2 linked regions of the Elephas maximus indicus genome follow. Each later gene encodes a partner of the first gene's protein in a complex. Links are inferred from orthologs where the notes say so. Each region holds a gene or a part of one and is shown on either strand. Other genes may lie near its edges.

Evidence for each region. The genes of interacting proteins can lie anywhere in the genome.
Region 2: EIF3I (region 1) and EIF3L share a complex: the UniProt entries of both Homo sapiens proteins name them as parts of the eukaryotic translation initiation factor 3 (eIF-3) complex. The link is inferred for Elephas maximus indicus from reciprocal best matches to the Homo sapiens genes EIF3I and EIF3L.

What each region holds. Positions count from the first base shown.
Region 1 is NC_064821.1:73,124,113-73,131,181, reverse strand, and holds the start of EIF3I (eukaryotic translation initiation factor 3 subunit I), read right to left. Parts: upstream 2,939-7,069; coding exon 2,936-2,938; coding exon of another isoform or gene 2,841-2,935; coding exon 2,748-2,840; exon of another isoform or gene 2,726-2,747; intron 1,409-2,725; coding exon 1,321-1,408; intron 1,012-1,320; coding exon 946-1,011; intron 13-945; coding exon 1-12. Other genes in the region: TMEM234 (transmembrane protein 234), read left to right, coding at 2,817-3,072, 3,369-3,520, 4,314-4,380, 5,994-6,086, 6,428-6,522. UniProt on the Homo sapiens protein: Component of the eukaryotic translation initiation factor 3 (eIF-3) complex, which is required for several steps in the initiation of protein synthesis.
Region 2 is NC_064822.1:181,743,435-181,751,347, reverse strand, and holds the start of EIF3L (eukaryotic translation initiation factor 3 subunit L), read right to left. Parts: upstream 3,007-7,913; 5' UTR 2,939-3,006; coding exon 2,906-2,938; intron 2,349-2,905; coding exon 2,300-2,348; intron 1,195-2,299; coding exon 984-1,194; intron 1-983. UniProt on the Homo sapiens protein: Component of the eukaryotic translation initiation factor 3 (eIF-3) complex, which is required for several steps in the initiation of protein synthesis.

The DNA.
Region 1 (7,069 bases):
CCAGCTGTTTCCCTGGCGACAGACAGAGTCTGGGCTACCCTTTGCCCACTGCCATCATGGGAAGACACTCCTTACACCTGGCTAGCATCATATGCCACTGTTTCTCCTGCTCCAGTGACTCCAATCCACCCCTCTCCTCTTCCTCACTGCTACTGCTTTGGCTCAAGTCTTAATTTCTTCCCCTCATCTCTCCTCCGACATCAGCTAACGTGGTGCTGCTCATGGTGGATTGCAATCATCTGTCTCCCCCTTAGACTGCGCTCCTCCACAGCAGAGACCTGGTCTAATTTCTCTGCGTGTCCCCAGTGCCTGGGACAGAATTGGGTGCCCAGTAAATATGTACTAAATGAAGCAGCTTAACAGGCTTCTCTGTCTTTAGTCTTAGCTCTTCCAATGCACGCTGCCCACTGCTACCTGAACTTGTTAAAAGTAAACACATTGCCACTTCCCTGCTCTGAGACCTCCATAGCTTGCCAAGGCCTACAGAACAAAGCCACGCTCCTGAGTTGGCACTCAACGTCTGTTCTGGCTCTAGCCTACCTATCCAGCCTCATCTTCTCTACTGTCTACCTATTTCACCACCCAAGAAGCAGGAACTCCAGCGAGATCAGATGACTTGGGCTTAACACTTGCTATGCTTTCATTCCTGCATGCGCCAAAGTGATGACCTTCTTTCACCCTTCCAGCCCCAGCTCATATTACGTGTACCTTGAGAAGTTTTCCCTGGCTGCTCCCGCCTCTACTCCAGGCAGTCAGTTGCCCCCTTGATCCTACTACAGTACTCTATGCTTCCTCTAACATGGCTTTTATCTTAACGAAGTGCCTCTTTTCTCATCTGTCTTCCTTATCTTCTCTTCTGTTTCTATTTCCCAAGAACCTGTTCACTTAAAAAGGCATACTGTAGGTACTCAATGTTTGCTGAAAAAGTGAATGACCCAGGCTTACCTGTTTCACAGTCCCAGAGACGACAGCTGTTGTCAGCTGAGCCAGTGAGGACATGCTTGGTGTCCCCTGAAGTGCGTATTAAGGAACAAGACCAGGTTTGCCTGAGCCCTTGTCCTCTTGGGAGGCCAAGTGAATCACTTCCATGTTCAGTTCCAAACAGTCTTTCTTCCCCCTTCCTACCTCAAAGCATTTGCACCTCCTTATCCACAACTGGAAGTTTTCCCAAACGTTTGCCCAACCAGGGAAGAGACTAGAGAGGGAGGTATCATTCTCTAGACCCACAACAGCATCCCAAACCACCAGCCCCAAGCTCAGCAACCTCTCCATTGCTGGCAGACCTGGGAACATAGACTCAAAGAGTAAAGGTAAGGATACAGTCGGCATCCACACACCACACAGCTCCAGTGTGGCCCATGTAGGTGCCCAGCCTTTCCCCATTCACGGAGTACCATACATTGACGATCTGGAAGAATCAAATGACAGGATGCTAACATCTCAGGCAGAGCAGTGGCCTATTTTACCCCAGAACCCTCAGCAGCCTCTAGATGCCGGCAGGTAAACAAGGGAGTCAGGAGGCTTACAAAAGTGTCCTCTTTTGTCACTGCACATATTCCCAGACCTTCAGAAGAATAAAAGGTCAAGCTGAGCTCTAGTCCAAAAAAAAACAGCTTTGGTGTCCTGTCCCAATGGGAGCAATTGGCAGTAGGGAAGCCTGTGTTCATACTGGCACTAGGGACTGGATTATCATTGTATTATCTCAAATAGAGCACTTCTTCCCTCTGACCTTCGCTTTTCCCATCTGTAAAGTGGCCATAAGAATAACGTCTTCTTCAAAGGGTAACTGGGAGGCATCAATGAAATGAAGTCGAAAGAGCTTAAATATAACTAACTAACACTAATTAACCACTCATATGCACCATAGGGCTGCTGTGAGTTGGAATCGACTTGATGGCACACAACAACATGCACCAGGTACTGTGCTAAGCTCCTTACATAAATGATCTCATTTAATCCTAAAGACAACCCCGTGAGGGAGCTTGGGGTTATATATAAAAAATAAACCCACTGCCCTCAAGTTGATTCTCACTCATAGCGACCCTATAGGACGGAGCAGAACCGCCCCATGTTTCCAGAGAGCGGCTGGTGGATTAGAACTGACCATCTTTTTCGGTTAGCAGCTGAGCTCTTAACCGCTGCACCGTATTTTATAAAAACGGAAACTTGGAAGTTTAAAAAGGTTAAGTGACATACTCAAAGTCACAATGCTAACAGATCCAACAGTCAGGATTGAAATCCAGGTCTGTTTGGGTTGAGAGCCCCACTTTTAAGCATTAGTGTTAATATTCTGTGTAAAGGCAGTACCACGAGGGACTGTTTGCACTCAGTGAGCTCACTGAATGAAATGAAACTCGTTAGGTGCCAATTTCGACTCACAGCGACCCCACGTGACAGAGTAGAATTGCTCCACGGGGTTTTCTAGGCTGTAATCTTTACAGGAACAGATCTCCAGGTCTTTCTCCCGGGGAGTCACTGGGTGGGTTCGAACCGTCAACTTTTCGGTTAGCAGCCCAGTGCTTAACCATTGCGCCATCACCCCATTAAATCCCCTGTGTCCCTCGCGGCCCATGGATCAGCTTTCCTCTAGAAGGGGTGGTGTGTTCCCCTACCCTGGTTCCCTGGTTCTCAGAACCGTGCGATCTTTGTTTGGGTCCCCTCTAGCGGCAAAATTAGTTTGTACAACCATCACCCTGGCAGCTCCCCTCCGCATGGTCCCACCCACCGGCCCTCAGGATGAGGCTCACAGGGTCCTTGGCCACGGTGAAGAGAAGGTCTCCCTCGCGGTTGTACTTGATTTGCGTAATGGACCGCTCATGGCCCTGCAGCAGGATCGGCTTCTGTGGAGACAGGACGAGAGTGTCAGCGGCCGGAATCGGGTTCCTGCCCCAGCCTGGGACCCCCAAGCCAGCACCCCCACCTCAGTGGAACTCACCATGCCGGCGGTGACGCTAAAGAGCGGCGGCTTGAGTAGGACCGGAAGAAGCCTTGGAGCCACTTCCGGATTATGGGTCTCCGCCTATCCGTTCCCGGAAGTAGAAGGTAGTGACGTTGCCATGGCGGCGTCTCTTGGTGGGTAGCTGACCCCGCCCCTCCATGGCCTCGCAGACCACACTCAGAGTTCATTTCCTACCCCACCTCCACCCCTCCAACCCTCACCCCTGCCACAATCCCAGCCCCCAGGCTGCTGGTTCAATTTTTCTGGCTTCCCGGGGCCTGACCTACCAGCCAATCACGCGAAGGAGGGAGGTGGGGGGCGGCCAGGACAGAAGGCCAGGGAAGGGCCCGGTCTGGATGAAGGGCTGGGGAGGGCCGGGCCAGGCGGGCAGCAGGTTGGGGAGGGTGAAATGACCGGAACCTCCGTTCAGGGCAGGTGCTGGCCCTGGTGCTGGTGGCCGCTTTGTGGGGTGGCACGCAGCCGCTGCTGAAGCGGGCCTCCGCCGGCCTGCAGCAGGTTCATGAGCGTACCTGGGCCAAGCAGTTGCTGCAGGAGATGAAGACCCTCTTCTTGAATACTGAGGTGCGTCCCTGAACGGCCTGCCTCTCGAGGGTGGCTGCTAAGGATTTGATTTCTGGAATCAAACAGATCTGGGCCAGAATCCTGGCTCCGCCATTTGTCCGGCAGATACACTTGTCCTCCCAGAGCCTGTTTTCATAGTCTGTAAAATGGGGATAATAATGCCCTACTTTATAGGACAGTCATGAGGATTAAGTGAAATGAGCCACATAAAAGAATTTAGCGTTCAGCCCAGTACATAAGTGCTCAATTCATGGCTGTTATTATTACTTTATGATTGTGATTTCTGCAACAGACCTTTCCAGAGGGAGAGCTTGGCGCTCAAATTGGGGATGGAGGGAAAAGAGGATGTGGAGAACTGCTCCTGAATCCAAGGCTGCCAGCCTAAGCTAGTGGTAAAGACGAGAGGTAGACACATCCACCTATCTCAGGACTAAGGGTATGAAGGGTACAGATGACGGTGCTGTGTGAGTTAGAGGAGGGAGGCTGGAGCTGGAGGGACTCAAGGAAGGCTTCCTGGAGGGGGTGACATTGGCATGCACTCAAGGCCTTGCAGGATGGGGAGGATGGGAGCTAGCAGAGCTGAGGGAGAGGGCATTCCAGGGCAAAAGCATGGAGTTCAGTCAGTAACTGTTTCCCTTTTTGCCCTGGAAAGGTCCTCTGAGGGCTTAGTGCTCCCTGGGCCCTTAGAACCACCTCTCCCTCCAAGGAAAGGCATATGCTAGAAGCTCGAAGAAGGCAGTGCTGCCCTACCCAGTCTGGCAATCACACTTACTGTAGCTTCTCCTGTTCCCAGTACCTGATGCCCTTTCTCCTCAACCAGTGTGGCTCCCTTCTCTACTACCTCACCTTGGCATCCACAGGTGGGTCTCTGGCTTGGAACCATTCTGTTTAGTGGTGAAGGTCACCCAGGAGAGAAATTTTTGGGAAGGACCTTGAAATATCTGTTCCCAACAGTGAGGGAGAACACTGTCTCTGGTTTCCTCGTTGCACCCTCTTCTCTGAGCAGTAGGGGCATAGCAGGCTGGTTTTGGTATGCTATCAAGCACTAGGGTTGGTGTGAAGCCTGGTAGTCTTGTGCAGCAGCGGAGGAGGAAGAAGGTTCATCTTGCTGTGCTGGCTTTGACATTCTTACTTCTACCGTGTGCTACCTTCCTCGACCTTGAGCAAGTCTCTTATTTGAGCCTCAGTTTTATATGACCTGCTTCGTAGTGTGAGGATTAAATATAAAAAAAAAAAAATTTTTTTTTTTTCTTTACGAGAAGCATCCAGCAGAGTGTCAGGCACACAGTAGGAGCTCAATAAATATGAATTTCCTTTTCCCTAAGATTTGTTGACTGGACTCTATTGCAAAGATACTGTGCTAATTTTACACGTTCTATTATTTTTTATTCTAATATATTTATTGTGGTAAATATATGTATAACAAAATATTTGCCATTTCAACATTTTTTTACATGTACAATCTAGTGACATTAATTATGGTCCTCATGTTGTGCAACCATCATCACTATCCATTTCCAAATTTTTCTGTCACCCTTAACAGAAGCTCACTGCCGCCTAGGCAGTGATTCCGCCTTCTCCTCTCCCTTCCACCACTGGTAACCACTAATAAACTTTAGTCACTACACCTTTGCCTATTCTAGATGTTTCATATTATTGGGATCATATACTATGTGTCTTTTTGTGGCTGACATTTCACTTAGCATAATGTTTTCAAGGTTCATTCATGTCATAGTATGGATCAGGACTTATATTCCACTGTATTACACATTTTATTCCCATCATGACCCTGTGAAGCAGACATGACTATCACCATTCAGAGAGGAGCTTACAAAATTTTGGCCAATTTATTTCACCTAATCCCATAACATGTCAGTGCAGAGGATCTGAAGCCATAGATTATTTAAAGTTTTATGCTCTCGAACTTTGCTATGAGAAGTCCCCCTGCAGTGGTTTGCCTCCCCTGGAGTCTTACCCAGGCCCCCAGGGACTTGAGGGGAGTCTGGACCCCAGATAGTTCTGGGGAACCCCTCAGAGGCCATGAGAGGGCAAGGAGATAGGCCAGCCTCCAGATCTGCCACCCCAGCTTTCTCTAGAGTCACTCCACTTTCATGTATTTTACATTTTGGACTTCTCATAAAATTTCATTTAAAGAAAGCTTGAAAACCGCTGGCCTGATGCACTCCCAGATGCCCTTGAGCTCTGAGGAGCTGAATGCAAAGACCTCATCCTCAGCATCAAAACATGGTGGTCCCAGACCTTGGGGATCAGGTCTTCATGGTGGAATCCTGAGGAAGCACTGAATTTGGTGTCAGGAGACCTGGGCTTGAGTCCTAAGCTTGCTGTGACTTATCTGGAAAGTGCGGTCATGATCCCTCTCTTAAAGGGCCGTCTTGATGATGAAACCAAAATGTTTTGTGCCTAGAAAGACATTTTTTGCCTCTCAGTGATTCTTCTCCTTCTGACTACCCAGATCTAACCCTAGCTGTGCCCATCTGTAACTCTCTGGCCGTCGTCTTCACGCTGGTTGTTGGAAAGGTACTTGGAGAAGATATTGGTGGAAAACGTAAGTCAGGCCACTGGGAGTGTGGGAAGCAGCTACTTGGGCTTTGACACACCCACATTAGTTCTTTTCCAGAGCCCAAATGGTTAAAAAAGGTGTGCTGCTAACTGAAAGATGGACAGGTGGGGAGAGGCCCTTCTCCATTCTGCCCGGCTCCTCTGGCTGTCCAGCCTCTGCTGCTTCCTTGTGGCCATTAGAGCTGCTTTCCCCTAGGCAGTCTGGGTTGGGGACAGAGGTTGGGGTAGGAGTTGGGACCAGATGCCCCAAACCCTTCCCCAGCCCTGTACTAGCTCCTGCTGGCATGGCTGGGCTCACAGCTCTTCCATTTCCGCCTGTTATCGCAGAAGCAGTTGCAGGCATGGTGCTCACCGTGACAGGAATTGCACTCTGCATCACAAGTTCAGTGAGCAAGACCCAGGGGCAACTGTCCACCCTCTGAATGCACAGACCCCACCCACCAGCTCTGCTGTCTCCAGGAAGCCACTGGCCCATGAGATCCAGGTGTGAGCAGAGACCTAGCACTTCCCCTCTCTGAGCCTCAGCTTCCTCATCCCTTATGGGGATAATAGCTACCTCGTGGATCACAGTAAGAGAACAGAGTGAAAAGATTCTGAAACCTTCAGGTGCTGTTCAGCTGCTAGGATTTAGCACAGGAGACTTCAGACTCACCCACAGCAGTTCCCTTTCTGCTATCATCTCAGGCCCCCTGACCAGCCCCCATTACTATGGCCTGATCTGGGCCATTGCAGCAGCAGCACCGATGAGCTACAGAGCCCCAGCAGCATGCAAAGGACCTCTGCAGTCTTTGAGCTAGAAATGCAAACAGGAGGCCCCAGGGCTCAGTCAGAGTACCTTGGCTGACTGAAGGGGTGGAATTGAGGGGAGAAGTGGCAGGTGTAGGGGAGATGAGCTGTCCCACCCATGAGATGGGCGGGATTCCTCAACTGCCAGCCCATCTCAAATGGTAGGACAACTGTGAGCCCCAG
Region 2 (7,913 bases), on another chromosome or scaffold:
TGTCTAATCTCTAAAGCCCATTACCCAAGGGCAAACCCACTGTCGTGGAGTTGATTCTGACTCATGTGACCCTACAGGACACAGGAGAACTGCCCCATAAGGTCTCCTAGGCTGTAATCTTTATGGAAACAGACTGCCACATCTTTCTCCTGTGAAGCAGCTGGTAGGTTCAAATCGCCAACTCCTCAGTTAGCATTTGAGCTCTTAATCACTGAGCCACCAGGGTTCCTTTACACAATGGCAATTAGCCTCAATACTGAAGAAACCACTCCAGAGTCTGGCTGGCTAACCCTAGTATGTACCGAGAGGTTGCACAGCACAGGGGTTTAGAAATCTGGCTTTGGTATCAGACTATACAGGTTAAAACTCAGCTCATCCACTTCACTAGCTATCTGACTTATGCTCGCTGTTTTGTTTCTGCAACTGTGAAATGAGGAAAACAATGGTACCTAACTTCATGGGATTACTGTGAAGGGTAAATGAATAAATACAGGAAGATCACTTTGAACACTACCTAGTTCATACTGATACCACTACTGTAACAATAAATGATAATTGCTATTATAATCACTAATTTTGATATTATACAAGTTCCTGGGGAAGCAGGGTCCAACAAAATAACATGTCCCTATCTCCAAGAATATAGGGTCACTATAAGTTGGCAATGGGGTTGGCTTTTACAGAAACCCCTGATGGTGTAGTGATTAAGAGCTACAGCTGCTAACCAAAAGGTCGGCAGTTTGAATCCACCAGGCGCTCCTTGGAAACTCCAACGGGCGATTCTACTTTGTCCCATAGGGTCGCTATGAGTCGGAATCAACTTAACGGCAACGGGGCCTGGTTTTTTGTTTGTTTGTTTGTTTATCTCCAAGAAATCGTAGAGACCCCCCTGAACATTCTTTTCACAGAAAAACTATTGAACATCACCCGTTCTGTAGGCCAGGCCCACTCAGAGAGAGGTCAATGTAGCCAGTAGCCCATACCTGTTTTCATAGATGTCCTGGATCTCATAGACCTTCTGGTCAATGACATCACTGGAGACACGACTGGCCTGTAGCTCATACACCTTCTGGTCGATCAAATCCGAGACGGTTTTGTGGAAATACTGGATGAAGTTTTTGATCACTTCAGGGATGACTTGGTAGGTCTGCTGTTCATACTGACGTTCATAAGCCAGGTCCTGCTTTGGATCTCCTAGAGGTTGGATAAAACACAAAGTGCTTCCAGACCCACATATGTGATGTAACAAAAGGCACGACCACCCCAAGTCATCCCAAACGAAACTCCAGCCCATGAAAAAATCTAGAGCTGCCATCAAATCACTCCAATTCATGGTGATCCCACGTGTCAGAGCAGAACTGTGCTCTGTAGAGTCTTCAATGGCTGATTTTTAGGACGCAGATTGCCGGGCCTTTCTTCCAAGAGGCCCCTGCGTGCACATGCACCTCTCTGGATAGCAGCTAGGCATGTTGATTTACACCACCCAGAGACTCCCAAGTCTATGATATCAGGTACAAACCTTTTGAACGCTCTGATATAACCCCCACAAATCATCTCGACCCTACTGCTGTATTTCTTCAGAACAGTTATCGCTATCTAAAATTACTCATTTACCTATCATCTGTTTCCCCCACTAGAACCTAAAGTCTATGAGGGCAAGAACCTGGTCTGTCTTGCTCCCAGGTATACCCTCAGGGGCCAGAACAGTTGTGTATGTCTGTTGGGGGGTGGAGGATGACAAGAGGTAGTAGGCACTTAATATTTTTTGAATGACTGAGTGACTGCCAGTACCTAACTATATCATGTCACTAAACCCTTAAGTGCTCCGTTTTCTCATCTGTAAAACGAAAACATTAATGCATGTACTTCACAGAACTATTTTAGGAATTAAATGAAACACTTCTCATAAAGTACTCAGAACAATTCATGGCAAGCCAACTCACTCCAACATTTCAAGAACCCTCAAAGCCTCCCACCTTCCCCCCCTCAATTTTATTTTGGCATAGTTCTAATCACTTTAAACTTCACTTCAAGATTCTCTTTTTTTGCTAACAATTTAAACGGGGAAACCACAGCCAGTCAGTGGGGCTCTTCCTCTGAGACTTTGAAGTAGACCACAAACATGGCCCGGTTTATTAGGGTCCATACAACCTTCCCACTGAAAGCTAACAACTGACTCTAAACCTGGACCATCGACAAGCCCATTTTTAACAGGTACCCGTCAGAGCTGTTCTAGGCCATTCAAAAAGGCACGGGTCCACAGGAGAGCCCGCCTAGCCCTACAAACCCGTGGTCTCACCTGTGTGCATATCATAGTCGCCTGGATAAGCATAGGGATCATATGCGGCCTAGAACGACAAAGGCACAGAAAAGAACAGTCACCAATCTGTGAATGCAAAATGTTCATTCCTGCCAAGTGCCAAGCAGGCTGCTAATGGATACAAAGCTGAATAAAACGCAGTCCCTGCCCTTAAGAAACTCACATTTCTGCAAGAAAACAGAGAACAGACAATGACAACGCAACGTCACCGGGGCAATAAGCTAGAGAAAACTACAAGGACGGTGGGAGCCAGCAGGGTTTGGCAAGACTAAACCCAGGCCCAGAAAAAGCGTTCAGTCCCAGAAAGAGAAGCCTGATAGGAATAGGGCGTAAGCGCCCTCCGGCCGCAGTCCTGGCAAACGGGAGGACGAGGGCACCGAACACACGAAGCGGGCGGGCAGACACAGGGCGGGTGAGGGGCCACGAGCTGTGGCTTCTAAGGGCCGCGCGGAGAGGCAGGCCGGAGCTGGCCGCGGCCCACGGGGGCTCGGGGAAAGGCCAAGACGCCGCTTCCCCGCGGGCCCCAGCATCCATAAAGGCCCTGCCAATGTCGCGGACCCTGCCACGCGCTTAGGCCCATCTTACCTCAGACTCGTAATCATCAGCGGGATACGACATGGCTGCGGCGCTAGCGGAACACCGCCGAAGAGAGCGAAAAGACCAGCCCTCGCCGGCGTGATGACTCCGGAAGTTCTACCCCGCTTGGCCCTGCGGGGACCGGAAGCCTTTCTGAGGGCGCCGGCACCCTGAGACCGCCACGTTAAGAAGGGCAAAAATTACGAAACACCTAAATTTTTTCTTCCCTTTCCAAATAGAGACTTTGCAAGGGGGGACATTTTATATCACTTGCATAAATCAGAAATAGGGACGTGAACTATTTCATCATAAATAAACAATGGGCAAATTAAGGGAAACAAGAAGGAATGCCACACAAAAAATGGCTGACAGCTCCCTCGGGCTGCCTTCTCGCGTGAAGAAAAAGCCGGATGAACGGGGTCTGAATGCAGATTTAGTCGTCAACGGGTTGCCTGCGACCAGCAACGTTTTCAAACGTTCTGGTTTCAAATTTTACTGGGTGGAAAAGTTGAGCCTCGGTCCCACTGAGTGAGAGGTCATCATGAAAAGGTGCCCCCCAACTTTGGGCATTAAATTGGAGCAGGCAAAGATGAAGCCAGCTGTGGCGTGAGGCCCTGGGGCGAGTCCTGGGAGCTGTGCTGCGCTTGAGCGCCCAGTCTGTGTGTGGTGGTCGGGGAGGGGTCGTGGGGTGGATTCGAGTCGCTCGGAAACCCTCGAGTTAGGGATGGAGGTTATAAAACAAGGGAATCCCGGGTGGTGGGTTTATTTCTGTTTTCGGTCAAGGACCTTAGTTTAGCCATCGGCTCATTCCCAACACACTAGTCAGGTGATCTGGGTTCCAATGTGACTTGCTGTGTGACCCGTAGCGTGTCGCACCCCTTCTGCCCCAGCCACCGCGTCCTGTAGTCACACTGCCTTCCTTGCTTTTCCCATCCAGAGACACTCCGCCTCGGGGTTTTTGCACTCACAGTTACCTGCCTCTGGACTCTAGAATGCAGCCCGCTCAGATACCGCACGGCTCGCTTTGTCTTCAAGTGTTTATTCTGAAGTTATCACTCGAGCATCCCATTTAGAATTACAACGCCCCGTCCCAACTACCTATGCCCTTTCCTGCTTTGTGTTTCCCCGTCGCACTATGGTCGAATTGCCACCATGGAACTAATGGAGGTTACGCTTTGGGACCCCTTCATTCCCAGAGTCCTTCCATGGCTCTGGGTAGCCCCTAACAATGTCCTCACGTGGTCATGTATTTTTGTAAAATTTACAAAATAGTATTTATTGCAATTGGTTGTTAGGACCAAACTATCTTTCCACTTGGATTCCCCTCTGTCGCACTTGCTCTTGTTGATCCAGCTAGAGGAAATCCAATGGGGGAACATTTGAATTAAGTACTTTGCCTCTTCTGTGCATAGTTGTCGTTGCTGGCCTTTCGTTTGTAGGAATACACCTAACCATCCACTGTGGTCAATGAGTGTCGTCAATTAAAGGAATATTTAAGATTAATCAGAGCCTAAGAAAGCTTGAAATATGTGAGATCTTACAATTCATATATGACAAAAATTTCATACAGTTCTCTCCAAATTTGATAATTCCTCAAAATGTTAATAATACAGAGTTGTGAAATCAAAAGGATTTCTAAATTATAAATAATAAAATAAAAATTTGTTCTAATGAGGAAACACAAGCATTTTTCCATTCTCATTATGGAAAATGATGATACAAAATTGTTGTCATATAAAGAGGTTAGCCAACAGAAGAAAACAAAAACTGTGGAGGTGTTTCCACCAATTAATGTTACTTTTCTGGATTTTGTGATTTTGTGGTATTTGTGAGCATATTAAAATTTGCAATTGCTTGATTTCTCACATAATTTGGGTTGTGAGTTCTCTTTCTAGACAAATATTCTCTTTCTAGTTTCATTTTTGTAATGTTCTATTCTTTATTCCTAATGAAAGCTTCAGGCCCCACAAAATTTGGATTACCTGTTTATAACCATCTATCATTCATTCTTCATTCATCTATTCACTCATTTATTTATGGTTTCCTAACTCTTCCAGGGAAACCCTGGTAGCGTAGTAGTTAAGAGCTACAGCTGCTAACCAAAAACTTCAGCAGTTCAAATCCACCAGGTGCTCCTTGGAAACTCTATGGGCAGTTCAACTCTGTCCCACAGGGTCCTTATGAGTCGGAATTGACTCAAAGGCTGGTTTTTTTTTTTTTTTTTTTAACTCTTGCAGAACGTACCCTTTAATTTAGAGAATCACAATGCAAATTAGAATAGTAAAAGCTTCAAGAGGACCTTCCTCACTGGCTACTGGCTTCTCACTTTCTTTGTTGGCCCCTCTTCATCTCTACAATCACGAAATAGTAGATCACTCCCCGGGCTTGGTTCTTGGGTCTCTGCTCTTCTCTACCTTCATTTCCTGTCTCATCCAGTTCAGTAGGTTTAAATATCATCCATATGCCATTGACTCCTCACACGTATCTCTCCATCCCAGACCCTGCCCTGGAAGTGGGCCCATGACCCCTTGCCTAGTCACATTGCAACTTAAAACGTCCAAATTCAGTATCTGATCTCCTGGCTCAAACCTGCTGCTCCCATACTTTTCCCCACCTCAGTTAAGACAACCATTTTAGGAAGTAACATATGATCAGGAACCTATGGTACCGAAGGAAGAAGTCCAAGCTGCACTGAAGGCATTGGCAAAAAACAAGGCTCCAGGAATTGACAGAATACCAACTGAGATGTTTCAACAAACTTGCAGCACTGGAAGTGCTCACTCGTCTATGCCAAGAAATTTGGAAAACAGCCACCTGGCCAACAAACTGGAAAAGATCCATATTTATGCCTATACCCAAGAAAGGTGATCCAACCGAATGTGGAAAATATCAAACAATATCATTAATATTACATGCAAGCAAAATTTTGCTGAAGATCATTCAAAAGCGCCTGCAGCAGTATATCGACAGGGAACTGCCAGAAAGTCAAGCCGGATTTGGAAGAGGACATGGAACCAGGGATAACATTGCTGTTGTCAGATGGACCCTGGCTGAAAGCAGAGAATACCAGAAGGATGTTTACCTGTGTGTTGTTGACTATGCAATGACATTCGACTGTGTGGATCATAACAAATTTTGGATAACATTGCAAAAAATGGGAATTGCAGAACACTTAATTCTGCTCATGAGGAATCTGTACGTGGACCAAGAGGCAGTCGTTTGAACAGAACAAGGGGATACTGCATGGTTTAAAGTCAGGAAAGGTGTACAGTGGTGTTGTATCTATTCACCATACCTATTCAACCTGTATGCTAAGCAAATAATCCAAGAAGCTGGACTATACGAAGAAGAATGGGGCATCAGAATTAAAGGAAGACTCATTAACAACATGCGTTATACAGATGACACAACCCTGCTTGCTGAAATTGAAGAGGACTTGAAACACTTACTGAAGAAGATCAAAGACCACAGCCTTCAGTATGGATTATACCTCAACATAAAGGAAACAAAAATCCTCACAACTGGACCAATAAGCAACATCATGATAAATGGAGAAAAGACTGAGGTTGTCAAGAATTTCATTTTACTTGGATCCACAATCAGTACCCATGGAAGCAGCAGTCAAGAAATCAAAAGACGCGTTGCAGTGGCCAAATTAGCTGCAAGAGATCTCTTTAAAGTGTTAAAAAGCAAAGATGTCACCTTGAGGACTAAAGTGTGCCTGACCCAAGCCAAGGTGTTTTCAATCGCCTCATATGCATGTGAAAGTTGGACAATGAATAAGGAAGACCAAAGAAGAATTGATGCCTTAGAATTGTGGTGTTGGTGAAGAATATTGGATATACCATGGACTGCCAAAAGAATGAACACATTTGTCTCAGAAGAAGTGTAACCAGAGTGCTCCTTAGAAGTTAGGATAGCGAGACTATGTCTCACATACTTTGGACATTTTACCAGGAGGGGTCAGTCCCTGGAGAAGGACATCATGCTTGGTAAAGTAGAGGGTCAGCAAAAAAGAGGAAGACTCTCAAGGAGAGGGATTGACACAGTGGCTGCAACAATGGGCTCAAGCATAGCAACATTTGTGAAGATGATGCACGATGGGGCAGTGTTTTGTTCTGTTGTACATAGGGTCACTATAAGTTGGAACTGACTCAACAGCACCTAACAACAACAGTTAAGACAACTCTACTCCTTTAGTTGCTCAGCCCCAAATCTGCAGAACCATCTTTGACTCTTCTGTTTTTCTCACACCCTACATCCAATCCACTTACTGATGTTAAAAATGGTGTGAGTGTCTGATCTCTCTAACGTCTCGATGGAGAGAGAATCACTATTAGCATCAGCCTAAAGCTGATTTACTGTGAGACAGAGGTCAAACATACCACCTCTCTCCAACCTTTTTAGCAATTCTGACATCAGCTGTCCCTCCCGCAGCACTCCACTTCTCTGCTGGGTTCTCACAATTATGGGGCTTATTCGGGAAGTAACAGGTTACAATTCACAGTCAGGAACAACTCAGGATATAGTTCTTCAATCTGGACAGCATCTTCTCAGCTGGGCCTGCAGTCAGGCCTCTTTTTGGCCCTTGGCTCTTCAGCCTCAGACTCTGCTCAAGCAAGTGTTACAAAGCTCTTTAGCTCTGTCAGTAAGTACCTGGACGCACCCCATTCCACCAGCAAGCCTCCTGCCCAAATGTGCTCAACTTTCTCACTCTGTGAGCTAGGAAGCCCACTGCTTGATTTCCTGGTTCTGCTGCCTCTGCTGCCACCATTTCTCTGCCACTGCTTCTCACTGTCTACAGTATTACAGCTCTCTCTCTGTCTCTTGGGTCTAGGAAGTTCTCGACACAAGGACTCTGGGTCCAAAGGACGTGATACACTCCTAGCTTTTCTTTCTTAGTGGTAGTGAGGACGTGCCTTCTGCTCTGGGATTGGCTCTCTTTCAAGCATATCAGGATGGCAAAACTGGCCAATCTCCTCATAGAGGTTCCATAGACCTTATTGGCATGGTCCCA